Linked DNA regions of Caenorhabditis elegans. The protein of the gene in region 3 interacts with the protein of the main gene of each other region in a biochemical or structural test. Each region holds a gene or a part of one and is shown on either strand. Other genes may lie near its edges. The genes, in order: flp-14, flp-8 and frpr-19.

Evidence for each region.
Region 1: the proteins of frpr-19 (region 3) and flp-14 interact in a test that uses a peptide from one of them, tested with the Caenorhabditis elegans proteins (one large-scale study listed by BioGRID).
Region 2: the proteins of frpr-19 (region 3) and flp-8 interact in a test that uses a peptide from one of them, tested with the Caenorhabditis elegans proteins (one large-scale study listed by BioGRID).

What each region holds. Positions count from the first base shown.
Region 1 is NC_003281.10:12,908,633-12,915,466, reverse strand, and holds flp-14 (KHEYLRF-amide 4), read right to left. Parts: upstream 4,958-6,834; 5' UTR 4,956-4,957; coding exon 4,824-4,955; intron 3,874-4,823; coding exon 3,750-3,873; intron 2,034-3,749; coding exon 1,904-2,033; intron 773-1,903; coding exon 727-772; 3' UTR 537-726; downstream 1-536. Other genes in the region: Y37D8A.16 (MARVEL domain-containing protein), read left to right, coding at 39-170.
Region 2 is NC_003284.9:14,879,580-14,882,593, reverse strand, and holds flp-8 (FMRF-Like Peptide), read right to left. Parts: upstream 1,176-3,014; 5' UTR 1,057-1,175; coding exon 934-1,056; intron 865-933; coding exon 731-864; intron 678-730; coding exon 527-677; downstream 1-526.
Region 3 is NC_003282.8:1,775,468-1,783,223, forward strand, and holds the start of frpr-19 (G-protein coupled receptors family 1 profile domain-containing protein), read right to left. Parts: upstream 6,096-7,756; coding exon 5,908-6,095; intron 5,336-5,907; coding exon 5,111-5,335; intron 4,981-5,110; coding exon 4,773-4,980; intron 4,108-4,772; coding exon 3,889-4,107; intron 3,526-3,888; coding exon 3,337-3,525; intron 991-3,336; coding exon 877-990; coding exon of another isoform or gene 856-876; exon of another isoform or gene 1-855.

The DNA.
Region 1 (6,834 bases), on a different chromosome or scaffold from region 3:
CCAAATTTAACAAACTTTTCAAAATTAATTTCTTACAGGCAATGGCTGGACTCAACGTTGGATGCTTCCTCGGCATCGCTGCCATTTTCGTTGCAAATCTTGTCAACGATAAGATTCTACAGCGCTCGCAAAAGTTCAATAAATACGATCGTGGAGTTTACGTGCAGTAATTCGGCAGAAGTCTTGGGATTTTTTATTGCTCATTTTCATGTAAATTTCTAATACGATCTACTTATATTTATTCTTTTTTTTTTGTTCCATTTATCTCGAAGGGATCTTATAATTGCGTTTTTGTTCATTTTTTGGAATTATTGACAAAAATTCTAATAAAAAATTTACCGTACATTTTAAAAAATTCGAAGTGTTTTTTTTTCTGAGCATTCCAGCAAAACTTGTCAAAAAATCCAGATTCCCAGAAATTTCTACAAGACCCAGAAGTTTGCTTTCTTTAAATCGTTTTTAAAGTGGTTCATCGTGAACCTTGTTTAATGTCGGTTGCGCACTTATCTTCCTCTGACTTCTAGAAAATAACTCTTAACCAACGACAAGATTTATTACAATTTCTTCTTTCGACAATGCTGAGAGGGAGAGAGAAAAGAGATAGAGAGAAAAATATAGAAAAAAAAATCTTTCAAAAAAAAATGGTGTACTGTAGTTCCGTCTTTTTCTTCTTTTATTTGTATGGTTTTCAAAGATGTTTCTTCGATGATAGTAGATATTCCCTTCTTATTTGCGTCCGAAACGCAAGTATTCGTGCTTTCTCTTTCCGAATCTGAAAAAAATAGGGGAAATTTGATGGAACACAATTTCCTTTAGAGACATCGTGTGACATTTGATTTAGAAACAAACAAAAAGAACACCGAATTTGAGTCGAAAATTCAATTTTTGAAGTTTAATAGTGTTACGGAAAAGTGCGAAGATCAGAGCTTGTTCTCTCCGTTAAATTGTGCTCGAAAAATCACGGATTTCTGGCTTCCCTCATAAATTGAAATGGAAGAGTTTGCCAAACTAGGCCATTTTGGCTCGGTCATAGCTGGGGTAGATTTACGGCGCATTGCGTGTCGCGTCGCGGCTTGATTTTAGTTGTAAATCTAAATCACTTGTCCGTGTGGAGTACACGACTTTCCCACGCGTTGTCCGGCAGGCGATTGTCAATGGAGCGCGAAAAATGCAATGAGGAAGGCCTGAACCCCGTGAAAGTGGGAAAAAAAATTCGCGCATAAAATTCGATGCACAGACATCATATTTTACGCGCAAGTTTGTTACACGATTTTTCAGCCACAAATACAGGTCTCGACGCGACAAATTTTTCGTTAAATTCGAAAAGGTGTGCGACTTTGATTTTCATCGATTTTTCAAAGTTTTTCTATCATTTCCTCGAGAATTTGTCCGTATTATTTTTGTGTAAATAAATAATATTTTGCAGGACACTACAGTAATCTTTATAGGCTTTTGAATTCCTTCTGTATTAAAAAAAAACAAGCAAATTCGTGTAGAGACCTGAGAAGTATTACGGTGACGCAAAAATGACAATTTTTCGAAAAAAAAGTGCAATTGCGCTCCAAACGCTGCCATAATTTGGGTCTCGTTAAGAAAATTGGTTCCAAAAATTTCCTGGGTGTATTCATTTGTACGTTGGAGCGTATTTGCCCCCATCTAACAGTTGCAGCTTTTTGCGGCGCCATAATAACATCTGCCTACTACTGCCTGCCTATTGCCTGCTTATTGTCTTCCTACTCCCTGTCTGCCTACTGCCTGCCTACTGATTGCCTACTGCCTGTCTATTCCCTGCCTGCCTATTGCCTGCTTATTGTCTACCTACTCTCTGTCTGCCTACTGCCTGCCTACACCCTGCCTACTGTCTTCCTACTGCCTGCCTTACAACTAAAAAAAAATCACAAACCTCAAGTACTCGTGCTTCCTTTTTCCAAATCTGAGATACTCGTGCTTTCTCTTTCCGAATCGGAGGTATTCGTGCTTGCGCTTCTCCATGTCATTGTCTCCCTCGTTGGTCTCCTCCTCGAGAGCCAATCCTGCAACAACGTTTCCCATTGGGATCAGACCTCAAAGCAAGAGCACAACCATCATTAAGAATTTAAAAAGAATTTGGCGCTTTACATTTTAAAAGTCAGGGGCTTTTTCAAGAAAATGGCGGAACGTGATTGATAGTCTAGGCTTTCGGCTGGGTCACCGGAGGCTTATTTGATGCAGAGAAAATGAAGTTTGACTCATGCAGCTGGCAAATCGGATGTCTACTGTCTGCCTGCCTACTGCCTAGTTCCTGCCTACTGCCTAGTTTCTGCTTTCAGCCTACCTACTGCCTACCTACCAGGCCTGCCGGATTTTCTGCTTTTTTTTTTGAAATAATTTTGCTTTAAAAAAACCGAAAAATCGAAAAAACAAATTTCGGCGGCGCCCCTGTTTCCTACTTCTGCATACTGCCTGCTACTGCCTACTTACTGTCTGCCTACTGCCTGCTGCCTGCCTGCCTACTGCCAATTTTCGTTTTTCAGATTCCAATTTTACGGTATTTCCATTTTTCGGTTTTGCTAAGACAGAAAACCAAAAAAACTGGATAAGGCACCCCTGCTGCCTACTGCCTGTCTACTACCTGCCTACTGCCTACCTACTGCCTACCTACCAGGCCTGCCGGATTTTCGGTGTTTTTTAAAGAAAAAATTCGTTTTTCGGTTTTGCTAAAAAAAAACCAAAGGGAAAAAACTGGCAAAGGCACCCCTTCTGCCAACTGCTTGCCTACTGCTTGCCTACTGCCTACCTACAGCCTGCATACTACCTGCCTACTGCATGCCTACTGCCTACTGTCTACCTACTAGGCTTGCCGGTTTTCCTGTTTTCCGGTTTTGCTAAGACAGAAAACCAAATAAACTGGCATAGGCACCCCTGCTACCTACTGCCTGCCTACTGCCTGCCTACTGCCTGCCTGCTGCCAACTTTCGTTTTTCAGATTCCCATTTTACGGTTTTTCGATTTTTCGATTTTGCTATAAAACAACCAAAAAAAAACTGGCATAGGCACCCCTGCTGCCTACTGCCTGTCTACTGCCTGCTTACTGCCTACCTAGTATTTGCCTACTACCTGCCTACTGCATGCCTACTGCCTAGTTCCTGCCTTCAGCCTACCTACTGCCTACCTGGCCTGCCGGATTTTCTGTTTTTTTTTTTTTAATTTTCGTTTTTCGGTTTTGCTAAAAAAAAAACAGAAAAATCGAAAAAACAAATTTCGGCGGTGCCTCTGTTTCCTACTACCCGCCTACTGCCTTCCTACTGCCTGCCTGCTGCCTGCCGGATTTTCGGTTTATTTGAAAAAATTGTTGTTTTTCTGTTATGCTCAAAAAACCAAAAAAACCTGGCATAGGCACCTCTGCTGCCTACTGCCTGTCTACTGCCTGCCTACTATCTACCTACTATCTGCCTACTGCCTGCCTACTGCCAACTTTCGTTTTTCAGACTCCAATTTTACGGTATTCCGATTTTTCGGTTTTGCCCAAAAAAACCGAAAAACCTGGCAAAGGCACCCCTTCTGCCTACTGCCTGCCGACTGCCTACCTACTGCCTGCCTATTGCCTACCTACCAGGGCTGCCGGATCTTCGGTTTTTTTTTAAATTTTTTGTTTTTCTGTTATGCTCAAAAACAACCGAAAAATCGAAAAAAAAATTTTCGGCGGTGCCCCTGTTTCCTACTGCCTGCCTCTTGCCTGCCTACTGCCTACCTACTACCTGCCTACTTACCGTGAGTCTGAACGAGACGTTCAACTCCCTCCGAAACGAGAGCTCCGAGCTGAGCAAGAAGCATGCTGCTCTCGCTTAATTGGCACAAAAGCGCCTCTTGTTGATCGCCGTTGTTGGCCAGAATCTGGAAAATGTGTTTTTTTACAGTAGTACGTTTTTCAAACCCAGTGATTATTCCGGAACAAAATCCTTGGGAAAAGCACGAAAATTACATGGTTTCAAAAAAAAAACCAACCGGAAGCCTTGTAATTATAGGTTCAGATTTTTGTCGAGGACTACGGTGAGATGAAGCCCGTATTTGACAGCTCATATCTCGGCTATCTTTAGCTTTATCAAAAAGTTGTTAACTAGAAAAATATAGGTTTTTTCTTTTTCTGCAACTTTATAGTTTAAAAAATTTTGCTATCTATAAAATGAACCGAGTTATGATCTACCAAAGTGGAGTTCTAAAAAAACTTTGATCTACTACTTTCCAACCCCACAAAAAAACACATTCAAATCAAACAGAGAATAGTATGATCAGGTTAGAATCATCTAGATTAACTATGAAAAAGAAAATAGATTTTTTTTCTATTCATCGCAAGTTGTTTAATCTTTATTGTGCATCCAATCCTCCCCCGAAAAATGAGCAGAAATTGTGATCTTATTAAGTTTACTACAACCGAAACGTCATGAGGATCAAAAGAATATCATATTTATCAAATTTTTTGTCCAGAAAATGTGACGGCAGCACGTTCTTAACCATGCGAAATCAGTTAAGAAGTCTGCGTCTAAGTTCCCGCGATTCTCGTAGATCTGCGTAGATCAAACCAATACACAGTAGTCATTAGTTTTCGCTGCGTGATATTTTGCGCGTCAAATATGTTGCGCAGTACGCATTCTCAGAATTTTGAGAACCATGGGATGTATGACGTCACGCAGGCCCTAACTTAGTTTTCGAAAAACTTTTCCAAAATGCACTAAACTATCTCATTATAACTTCCACTTGCAGTTTTGAAAAAAAAAACTTTTTTAAACCCAATTATAAACATGACTTTAAACTTCTTAGAACAAAATGGTTTTTTTTTGACTCACCGCTTGACAATCCTTCGGATTGTGTGGAGCCTGTGCGGCTCCAGAAGCTCCGGCTCCAGCCGGTGCCTCCTGGCCACTGGCGGCCACGACGAACGCGGAGAGCAGAAGCGCGGTGGGCAGGCAGATCATCATATGAAGAGAGCTCTCAGTTGGAGCCAGAGGAGACTTCAAAATGGGCGGAGCTCGGTGTTGAAAGTGAAATGTTGTGGGCGTGGCTTGGTAGAGCTCGAGGAGAAGAAAAAAAAATGAAACAAAATTCAAGAGTACGGTAGCACTAAAAATTTTACGAAAAAAAAAACAAATACTAATTAGCCGAGGGGATGGGGTCCCCGGATTAGCAGGATTTCGCTAAAATTTTCCGGGAAAATTGGAAAAGAGAAAACACCTCAAACATCTGAGAATCTGCCCCGGAAGTAATAAAAAATAAAAAAAACCAAAAAAAATGTATCGGAGGTTCCGTAAGGAGGCCCAGGGGCATATTGAGTTAAGTGACAGAGGAGGTCAATGTTTGAACAGAGCAGATGTATTGATAGGTCAGGCTAGGCAAGTCTAGGAGTCTAGTGAAGAGTAGGCAAGGCTAGGTGAGCCTAGGCTAGGTGAGGCTAGGCTAGGCTAGGCTAGGACAGACTAGGTTAGGTTAGGCTAGACTCGGTAAGAATAGGACAAATTAAGCTAGGCCAGGTTAGGCAGGCGATGGATAAGTTAGGTAAGGCTAGGCCAGGCTAGGCTAAGCTAGGCAGGGATAGGTGAGGGTAGGCTTGGCTAGGCTTGACTAGGTTTGGCTAGGCTTGGCTAGGCTTGGCAAGACTGGGAAGTTAGATTAAGCTAGGCCCGGCTAGGTAGACATAGGATAAGATAGGTAAGATAAGGTTGGACTAGGTTAGTTAAGGGTATACTAAGCTAGGCTAGGCTAGGCTAGGTGAGGCTAGACTAGGTAGGCGTAGGATACGTTATGTAAGGTTGGCTAGGCTAGGCAAGACTGGGATTCTAGGCAAGGTTAGCCAAGCTGGGAGTCTAGGCTAAAATATGCTTGGCTAGGCTGGGCTAGGCCAGCCTAGACCAGCCTAGACCAGCCTAGGCTTTGCTCAAACTATTCCCAAATTAAACGTTCAGAACAAAAAAGGAAGTATAGAACCATCGCTTAATGTTGTTTTCGTGCAATTCTCCACGTGGTGCTCCGTTTTTTTTTCTTCTAAAATTTGTGTGTGCTCGTTAAGTGTTTTCTTTTCTTTTTTCACTCGAAAGAGGCTGCTCTAATTGGTCTGACTTTGTGAAAAATTGTAACTTCCAGAACAAAATAACACATTTGTCTTTTTTTGAATTGCCGCATAGTGACATAACTTGGGTCTCGTTAGGTTTTTGGCGACAAAATCGTAAATTCAAACTTTTTTATATCTCCTGATTTCGTTAATTTTTCTAATTTTTTCAGTGTGTTTTAATGTTTTTTGTGACGAAAAAAATCAAAAAATCAAAAAATCGAAAAAAATCATTAAAAATAACGAATAATAGCTAAAACGACCAAATTCCTAATGAGACCCATTTTATGAAGACGGAGCGTTCCGAGAGAGTTGGGAACATCGGCCATGACCGCGACGGAGCTTCAAAAAATTTGCGGAAATGATGCACAGGCTTCTAGCCTTCCTCATCGATTTTTTCGCGCTCCATTGACAATCGGCCGCCGGGAAAGTCGTGTGAACTCCACACGGACATTTAGTTTTACAATCGAGCCGCGACGCGACACGCAACGCGCCGTAAATCTACCCCAGATATGGCCGAGCCAAAATGGCCTAGTTCGGCAAACTCTTCCATTTCAATTTATGAGGGAAGCCAGAAATCCGTGGCCTTGGCCGCGGCCTAGGTTCTCAGTAAACTCTGCCATTTCAAGATATGAGGGACTCTGAAAGCCCGTGAAGAAGGGCCAATTTTAGGTAGTAAATAGGCTTCTTAAGCCCACGCATTCTTCAAGAAAAGTCGTCAACAACATCAGGTCAGTTTCCCTCGGGCTTTTTGT
Region 2 (3,014 bases), on a different chromosome or scaffold from region 3:
TTCTTCTCACTGACTATACAACATGTTTGGGCCGAGAAAATTGTATCCAAATTGTGAAATATTTCAATGACACAGGATTTCGGATAGAAAGATATACACAGTTTTTCCTCGAAAACCGGTCTTACGTCTGTTTGATGCGCGCGCCCGCAGGGGGATCATGCGTACTTGTAAGCAAATTTGAATACGATGAGTGGTCATACAAAGAAAAAAAACGGATTTGGTCATTCGGCTGGGACATATTATGCAATTCATACATCAAGCCTGTGAATATCCAAGTCTTGTGAAAATTGAGATAAGATGGAAAAAAAAAGAAAAAAAAACCAGAAAAACAATGAAAGTTTATTCTAACTGACGTTTTGCAGAGATAAAAGAAAAAAAATTAGCATGGAGAATAAGAAATCTAACAAAACATTATCAGTATAGAACACAATTTGGCCCAAATCATCAAGAAGCACACATCCATCTCTGAACGCGAATCACCCGAATCGAATGAATTCGTTCTTTCGTTTCTCCACTGCAAAACCACTTACAGATAAAATACATCAGAGGTGTAACCGAAAAACTCACTGGAAACGTCGTTGTCGTCGAGTCCAAGTCCCTTATCGGATCTTCCGAATCGGATGAACTCATTTTTTCTCTTTCCAAACCGGATGAACTCGTTCTTTCGTTTTTCCATTCTGAGAAAGAAATGATATTTGAAATGACCGACAAATACCAAATATGTACTAACCCGTCACTGCGTTTTCCAAATCGGATAAACTCGTTTTTACGCTTGTTCATCACCGGAACTTCTTGATCGTACAGTGTGACATCTGTCTGCTGCATCACCTCCTGCAAGGCTCTTTGGACGACTTGCATCTCCGCCTGCAAAACATTTTAGATTTTACAGGAATAAAAAACCACTTTGGAAACTAAAAAAAATGATCAACATACCTCAAGATGGCAAATCCGGAGTCCGAGTTCCTTCTCATTCTCGGTGGTCAGTGCGGACACATCACAGCTAGCGTTGGCCGATATGGCGAGTACAAAAATAGAAAAAAGGACTCCGGAGAGCATTTTCTACTTGAAAAGTGTGGACTGAGCACTGCTCGTGGCTTATATACTGGTCCGTCTTCTCCACTAACTTGGGCTCCGCGCACTTTGCTCCGCCTTTTCAGAGGCCACGCCTTCTTGTGCTGAAGAAATTCTAGAGTGTCCACTGGAAGGCGTTTGGTAAAAGAACGCGGGGGCATAGAAAACTTGAAATGGTAAATTGCATAAAACAAGTAAGAAACAGTAAAGTGCTTGTTCTGAGATTTATCTGAAATTGATTCATCGAAAAATTAAATTTACTCCGGTTTTAAAAGTCGTAAGACAATAAACGTGTCTTTGAGAGCAAGTTGATTCAAATTTTAAAAATTTGCTGAAAATCAAGTTTCGAAAACCAACGATATAAAAAAATTTTTTTTTAAAGTTATTAAAAATTATCTCATTTGAAAATTTATTGTATAAACCAGGTTATCTCAACTATCAGGTTAAAAACCGCTTTTTAGGTAAGAAACGTTATCTACGAAAAAACAAATTTTTCCAGATCAAACTTTAGAGTCATACAGTACCACCAAGAAAAATTTTAACATTTTGACATTGTTGTAGCAATTCGTTTGATTTGAAAATGGAAATTTCTCGAAGCTACCCTCGTTTTGAAAAATGAAAACAATGCATATTTATATTTTTGTGTCCTTATTTTGTTTTTTAAATTTTTTTAAAGAGGCCCACTTTACGTTTTTGTGTGTTTTCTTCTTCCTCGTCTATCTATCAGCTGTATAACCGAGCAGTCGAGGGACTGAACACAGTGAATACACGGAATTCATGCTGGGAGGTAACTAACAGATAAATTTAGCCACCGACACCCTCCGAAACTAATTATACCAACTCTATGCATTTGTAAATTGTTGACGTAACACTTGGACTTCTCCTTCATCTAATTCTTCAACTTTTTTCCACCTCTTCTCGGGGGGGGGGGGGGGGGGTACTTTGAAACCAAAAACTTATCCACCGCGCAAATTATTCATCACGAATCAGTTGCTTCCTCGATGATTCGCCTCGCAAAATGATTTCACGGCAATCTCTTCATAAATCTTGCCCTCCAATCATTGAATATTCATTCGAGCAACATGAAACTACGGTGAAGATTGCGTGTATTCAAAGTAAAGGTGCCCACATACTTTTTGAAGAGATCGTCCATGACGAAAATGAATTCATTTAAAGTAGAGTAAAACAAGACTTTTCAAAGAGAACAAAATATCAAGGAGTTCTTATGTCAAAATGGGATGGTCAAAAATGGAAGTCTAATCATTAAATAGTGAATGTCTTGAAAGTCAGTCATCTTATCCTGCATTATAATTATGTGCATAATAAGTGAATTTGCTAGTTTATCACTCCGCCATTGTTTAACAGTAGTCAGTCAGCTTTTTGATTATTTTCCAAAAGTATTCATTCATATTTACAGTGAATATTTTGAAAAATGTATTGTCCTTTAACTATAATTAATGTTGAAAAAATGTAAACCATTCTGTAAAAAGTTGATAATAATTATTAACTGCTCTGAACTTCTCGGAAAGTTATATATTTTCGTCGCCTCGCTATTTTACTAAAACCTTGACTGAAAATTAAGAAAAACTGGAAAGTTTTTGTACGGTTTTATTTTGATATGCGGCCAGCTTGAAACAATATTTACGTGTTTAAACAAAATGTATTTATCTTTAAATATAAATACAGTATTTCTTTTTTACTTGCACCACCTATTGAAAATCAACCCTGTATATTGAATTGAAAAGCTTCCAAATTATTTGATAATTTGACATTTGATAATCACTTTCCGCTTTGTTATATGTAATCTCAAAATTTTTCTTCCGCTATCAAAAATATGCTCGTTTTACTTTTTCTCTATTTTATCACAACATAAAAACCGATGAACGATACTGTTGTGACCGCAAATGTGAGAAGAGGAATCCAAAACACATACACACAAAAAT
Region 3 (7,756 bases):
AGAGAGTGTACGGTAAGGTACTGAAGGTAGACATGCAAGAAACGAAATAAAGGGGTACTGGGAGTTGAAATTTTTTGAAATTTTTTTTCACATTGAAATTGAAATTTTTATCAGATCTCCACATTCAAATAGATTTTGACCTATTTTTCAAATGATTTTCAGACAAAAAATAAAAAAAAATTCTGTTGAAAGTTTTGAAAATTGCCTGAAAACTTTTAAAAAAATACAAAAAAAAATACAAAATTTGGAATGTCAAGTTTTTAAACGATTTTTTTTCCAAATTATTCAAACTCACGTGAAGTCAGAACAGTCTCATTTCGCTTTGATCTTTGAAAAATGCGGCAGAAGAGACGCAGACATCTCATCATGATTGCACATGGTTAAGCTGACGTCACAATTGTTCTGGGGTCACAATTCTTCTGGAAAAATATTCCCGCATTTTTCGTAGATCAAATCGCAATGAGACAGATTTTTCCGATTTTCTATAATTATTTTACTATGAAATCAGGAACTTTAACAAAAACCAAAATTCTATAATTTTCAGTTTGATCTTATTAAAATTATACTTTAAATACAAAAAAGTTCTTTGAAAATTACAGAAAAAAACCGAATTTTAAAATATTTTTAATTTGAAAAAAATTATCGATTTCTGTGAAATTCCAAAAAAAAAAAAACTAATTTTTGTAAGTTTGAGCAAAAATTTGCAAAATTTAACTTTCCCAAAAATTTCAAAGCAATACCAATACCCCAACTAAATGGATAGAAGAAAGAAAATTATTACAAAAACAGAACATTTGGGGGAAAAACACAAAAGCAACCGGTTGGGGAAAGAAAAAAAAATAAAACGGAAAATGACTAATTGAGTACGGAACTAACGAGTAGCTCTCCCTGTCGGGACCAATCACAGAACAGATAGTAGCGGAGAAGCATTCGGTATTTGCCAGAGAACAGCATGTAGACACAGATGTTGCATGAAGCATTGATGATCACCTGGAATAAATCAATAATACTGATTTTCATGCGCTGACGAAAAATACAAAAATGTATTTTTATACAGTTTTCCCCCTATTCATGTGTGCAGAAACATTTAAAAAAACGCATGCATTTTTTGCATTTTCCGACATTTTTCTACATCGGTTATGGCACGTGGTCGCTGGCTGTCCTTTTGCATAAGTTTGAAGCAAACGCGCCTCATTGAGAATTCACGTTGGCGCCAACTCTCGCTATCCATTGGGCGTGAGAGACGCAGATACAGTGCGTACAAGTTCTATACGCCACCCCCTAAATTTATGCCTGTGGCCACGTCTGTGCTTTCAAAAAAATTTCTGTTGATGCCATTCGATTCCAAATCTTAAAAAACCTATAGGCCCAAATTTTCATGACCTTACCTCAATAATTAAAAAAATTAGGTCAATAAATCGAAAAATTGGCCGTACAACTTCTATACGCCACCCTCGATTTTTTGATGATTTTTCAAAAATTTACAATTTTTGAGAAGAAGTTGAACAGCACATTAATAAATTTGAGTGAATTTCGGTGCACAGTAGCTTTTCCTACAACCATAGAACAATTTTGTCCCAATTCGTAGATCCATGGAGTGCCAATGGCACCAGAGGGCCTGAAACGTGGATTTCTGCTCCCACGTGAGATATAACCTCAAAAGTTTGAGGATATGTTCTAGATACTATTCAAACATTTCATGCAAATTTTGGCATAAATTGGACTGTTCCTCGTCTCGATAGAAACACATTCATGTAAGGTCTAGCCACTTTTTGGCTACTGGAATGCTTAGAGGCCGAAATCACGGCGCCCGTGCCTTTTAGAGAGATTGAAGCATAAAAAATATTGAGATTACCACAATTAAATCACTATTTTTATTCATATGTTCGTCATCTCACCTCTTATCCGAAGAAAATGCGGAGCATCAAAAATTTGTGTGTTTTCAGTGCATTTCTACTGTGGTTTCAAGTTAAAACTTTTCTAAATCGCTAGAGCGCTTGATGATAGTAACCTTGATTGTTGCGTTCAAGAACAATACTACGAAATCTGCTGTAGCTCAATCGCAAAAATGCATCCCCACTGGATTCATGTGCACCGTGATTTCGGCCTCTAAGCATGCCAGTAGCCAAAAAGTGGCTAGACCTTACTGAAATGTTTTAATATCAGCACGAAGAACCGCCCAAATCAGACCAAAATTTACCTGAGATGTTGGAATAGTGTCTAGAACATATCCCCACACTTTCGAGGTTATATCTCACGTGGGAGCCATAATCCACGTTACAGGCTCTTTGGCGCTCCACAGTAAATCGGGTTGGGACAAAAATGTTTTGTGGTCGTAGGAAAAGTTACTCTTTGCTGATATTCAATCAAATTTATAAATATTCTCTTCAACTACCTCTTTAAAATCAAAAGTTTTGAAAAAATCGTCAAAAAATTGAGGGTGGCGTATAGAAGTTGTACGGCCAATTTTTCGGTTTATTGACCTAATTTATTTAGTTTTTGAGGTACGGTCATGAAAATTCAGGCTCATAGGTTTTTTAGGATTTGGAATCAAATGGCATCAGCAGAATTCTTCTAAAAAATTCAGACGTGCCCACATGCATAAATTTAGGGGGTGGCGTATAGAACTTGTACGCACTGTACTACTTTTTTCTCTGGACGTGAAAAACGCAAAGAACCGTTTTGCCGTCTGCATCTCTTCTTTCACACGCTATTTTGGCTGTGGACGAGGAATTCTCCTCTTCCAGGATTTCTAGGCCATTTTCTCACATTTCTCAAGTTTTCTCGTCCGCGAGAAAACGTGAATTTTGAGACAGCCAGCGAGCACGTGTTATGGGGTTATTCATGTGATGACAAAAAATGCAAAAATGTATTTTTATGTGGACCGATCTAGAAAAATGTCGAAAAATTAGAAAAATGCATTTTTGCTTTTTTTTTGTCATCACATGAATAACCAACCCCATTAGGTTATTAATAAATTTAGAAAAAAAATTAAAAACAATTTCAGATTAATCTAATGAAAATCTAATAATTAGTGGCTGGTTTTGGTGGAATTTTATTGTATTCGTGTGTGAAACGTCAATCGAAAAAAAAAAATTAACTGAGCAATTTTTGATTAATAATTGATTAATAATAAATATTCGCAAAAAAAAACAATTTTTTTTCTCGAAAAATGGCTAGCACAAGTTTTTAAACTAGAAATAAAAATTATCACCGACAAGTTGCAAAATGTGCATTGCAGCTGGAAGTCATATTCAGTCTTTGCACTTTCAAATGAAATATGACTCGATCAAAAGTCGGCTGGAGCCTTCACAACCTTCTTTAGTCAGAACTCACCAATAAATTGTTAAAAGTGACAAGAGTTTGATAGATTGCTCCCTCAGTGCCCATGTTCTCCATAATATTGCAAACGAATGCAAGAGTGTTACAGGCGATGAACAGGAGCACGATTGAGATGAGCATAATAGAAGTTTGTCGCTCCTTTCGTTCGGCTTTCTTCGAGAACTCCTCACTTTCGGCGCCACACTAAAGTTAGAAACAATTGGATTTTGTATTGTAGATCTTTTTTTTTTCTAAAATACTTTTTTCTCACACTGTTTCGAATCTTGGCTGCAATTTTCAAAATGGGGCTCAAATTTTGTATACATAAGTGCGTAACATCTGTACTCGTGCCGTGATAATTATAGAACCAGCACAGTATCGCACAGTATCGCTATCTTGAAATTAACTCTCATTGCTTATAATTGGAGCTTAAAAAACAAAATACAAATTAAAGACGCTATTTTATAAACTAATGCATTTCTATCGATTACAATTAGTATATATGGTGGTAGTAGTATCGACCTTGCTTTGAGATCTAATCAACCCACAAAACATAAAGTCCCATACCTGCGAAACCATATGCATCCGCCTCGACCGTCTCACCGCCGACAGCACCATCGAGTTGAGCGCGATCAGCAGTGTGAACGGCACCACATACATCACAATGGTGTACGCCCATCCGAAGAATATTTGCCTATACAGATCGTTCATTCGAAGAGCGGTCGGCTGAAGTGATGGCATGTAGTAGTCGATGTTTTCTCGGTAGCACACGTTGGAAATGTGGACCTGAAACAGAAAGTGGGGTTGGTTTCGTACTGTTTCAAGGGATTCAATTAGGCGGCAGTTACAGGACAGATGTAAGCCGAAATGACCTCTGCTCAGACTAAGAAGTCTGTCTACATCAGGGGTGTGTGGCTTGATACTGATACTTTTTGATATTTTTTGGAGCACCAAAACTACTAAATTCCGATAAACATCTGGTTTCCGAATAAGTTCCGTGTATTATGTCTGCTTAAGCATCAAAATGACTCAATGTTATACCGTTTTACTGAATTTTTTGCGACAAAATGAGTAGTTTTAGTCAGATTTGTACCGTCAAATTTGTACGGCAAATTTGGCAAATTTGCCGCGCACACCTCTGGTCTAAATCTAGTCTGTCCTAATTACTTCGACAATCGTTCAGGGTTCTATGATTAGTGAGAGCCGGTCTAAAAAAGAGCTTATTTGGACGTCACTGGGCATATTAATGGTCTTATAGGCCCACGACATCGTCCCAAATAATCAGGTGTATAACTCTTACTCAGTCCAAACCACACAATCGCCAGTATGTACTAGGCAGGTGCTCATATTTATTAAAGGTCATTTTTGAAACAAGGCAGCCAATAGTTTGAAAATTTATGCTCTTGGTTTCACACTCCCCTAGTCACCCAACCTATTACAAAAACGCTCACCTCAAAGAACCGAGTCGTGTTGAAAATCACGGAGAACGTGAGTAGACCAATGATGAAAGTGGTGACCCGTTTCTTGGGCAGCCACTCGACCGATTTGTACGGATGACAGACGCCGATGTAGCGATGAACGGAGACACCGACCGTCATGAAGACACTGCACGTCTGGGCGGTCATCATTAGACCGTACATGCACGGAGTCACCGAATAGCTGGAATAAGGGACCATTTTCAGTGTCCATGTCCAGTAATTTGCCTGTCCTATGACTGATTAAAGACGAATTTCCAGAACTTTTGCCAGGTGGCCTTATTCTAAAAACTATGCAGTTCAAAAATAGTTACCTGATATAATTCGCCCGCCACCAGGTGAGATATTCTCCGAAACGCGGCAACGAGAGCACAAAAAACGCGGAGAAGAGAATCAACGTGTCAGACGCGGAGAGTACGGCAAGATACCAGTTGATTGAGGATCCCGACATGATACGGTGTGTAAAGATGCGCATTGATGTGACGTTTGCCAGAATGCCGAACATGATTACTGGAACTGCGACGAGGCCAAGAAATACTCTGGAAAAATGTAGTTGAGTGTGTGGGCGAGGTGGATTTCGACTTGAACTTCGAGACAGGTCCTCGGCCACCGTTAATTCTACCGATAATTCAAAAATTCAAAAACTAGTAAATTGAAAAAATGAACGATATTTGTTCTATAGTTTTCTAGTTAAAATATTTGCAATGGCTTGAAATCAGCCGAGATATAAGCGGCCAAAGTCACGCAATGTAGTTTTCGATGCACCATGTGCAAGCCTGGTCTTGCACCTCATTTCTCAGTTGTCCTTGGGTTTATCCAAAAGTTGTCAACTAACAAAGTATTTATTTTTCTTTTTTCTACATTTGTGTAGTTTGCCAACTTTTGGTATCTTTAAAACCAAGCGAGATATGAGCGGTTGAAGTCAAAAAGTGGAACTTTCTCGATCGATGCACCATGAGCATCTCATATCTATGGTTTCTGTTCAAAAAATTTTATTAAAAAAAGCATTTCCCATTGTTATTTCTATGTTTTACTGCAATTGTTTTTTTTTGTTGATATTATCACACCCAACCGAAATATGAACCTTTAAAGTACAGTATCCCCGGCTCACCTCTCCAAACCTTCATAACTTGAGTAGTCCGTATGACATGCACAAGAAATGTTGAGTGGTGTACACATATCCTCCTCCTCAAACAACGGCACCTCTGTTGAGCCAATCATCAAATCAGGTGACTTGATCAAACCAAGTACGGAAACGAGCGGCGACGGGTCGCCAGTGAAATTAGCGTCCGTCGTCATTCTTGCGGCGGTGATGGGTAGCGTGGCCGAACTGGCGGGAACCGTTGATTGTAGCGCTCCTCGGTGATGAACAGGACACCGACAAGTCGGCCTGAAAAGAGGTAAAGAAATATTAAGAAAATATGAAACAAGAGGGGAGTGACAGGGGGCTTGCAGGTGGAAAATATGAAATTTAGAGGCAAAAATAGAAACAGAAGGGGGAGGGGGGGGGGAAGGTGCAATGCATTTTTGATGGAAAAGGTGACGGAAGGGCAAAGTGAGAGAGTGTGGCAGAGATTAATAATTTGATTTCAGAGGTTTTAAGGGATCAGGGCAGAACTTTTCACAAAGTCCAAACTCTCAAAAGTCTTCCAAATTCAGGTCCGGCCAGCTTCTCGTCCAGGAGCTGCCGGGCGAAGGAGGGCGAGTTGTTCCTCGACGCCTCGACCAGGGAGGCAAATTTGCCGAATTTGTCGTTTGCTGTGCTCGGCAAATTTCAAAAATGTGGATTTGCCGAATTTGCCGAGCTCGGCAAATTTTGAAATTGGCTGCACTCATTAAAAATGTTTCATTAAAATTTTGCTCAAAACTAATGGTTTCGATCAGAAACTTAATGAAAGAAAACATAGCAGCGTGTTTCTTTCATTTTTTATTCAAAAAATCCACATGCGCATTAGGAAAAAATCGAACTATACCAGTGAACTTAATATTTTCAATTATTTTTTGGCATTTTTAAGCTCCAAGAAATATTGTGATTTACCGAATTTGCCGAGCCCGGCAAATTTCAAAATTTGCCGCACATCCCTGGCCACGTAAAATGTCTAGCCATAAAAATATAGTCAAAAAAAATTTGGAAAAGTTTTTCTGAAGACAAATTTTTTAGAACTTAGCAAATCAAATGCAGTTGAATATCTTTTTTTCAATTGACCCAAATTTGTTTCCAGTAAAATGCTCAACTTTACTAAAACTACAAATTCAAGCTCACAAAATCACAGTGATCCTTCAAGATTTTTTCATCTAAAAAAACTAAAAGAAAATAGTAGTTTAACACGTTTGTATAACACGTTTGGTAATTTAATTTTCCAGTAACTACCGTGGGAGGAGGAGAAAAAGCGCAATACGAAAATTCACCTGGCTAACGTCATACACTGATTTCAGCGGGAAAAGTTCATGTGGCACGTGGCATTTTGGTAAAGTGTGATTGTTAAACTTTGAGAGCTTATACGTTACAGTTATGTAAAATAAAGGTAGAAAGTTTTTTCTATTACTGAATAAACGTGTTGGAAAGACTTTCAAGCCGTTAGACTTAAACCGACAACACACTTTTTGCTCACTTCCAAGGTTCATTATTGACTCATCATTCATGTTTTTAATAAGTAACGTAACTTATGAATGTTTAGTGAAGAAATGTTACAAGTGAGAAAAAAGTGTTGTCAAAATCACACTTCAAAAAAATCAATTGAACAGAGATTAAAGTTCTATAGGTCTGATACCTATATTTGTATAATTGCGTGAGAGTGTCTATGAGTAAGAAAAAGAGAGCCAAAAAAAGAAATTTCGAGATGAATCTCCTACCCGCCTGATATGCTTTAATCACTACAGAGACGCAGAGCAACGGAAATATTGACGAACACACATGTGTGTCGTCCTTGTCTACTGCTTCATCTTCATCCTCATCTTCT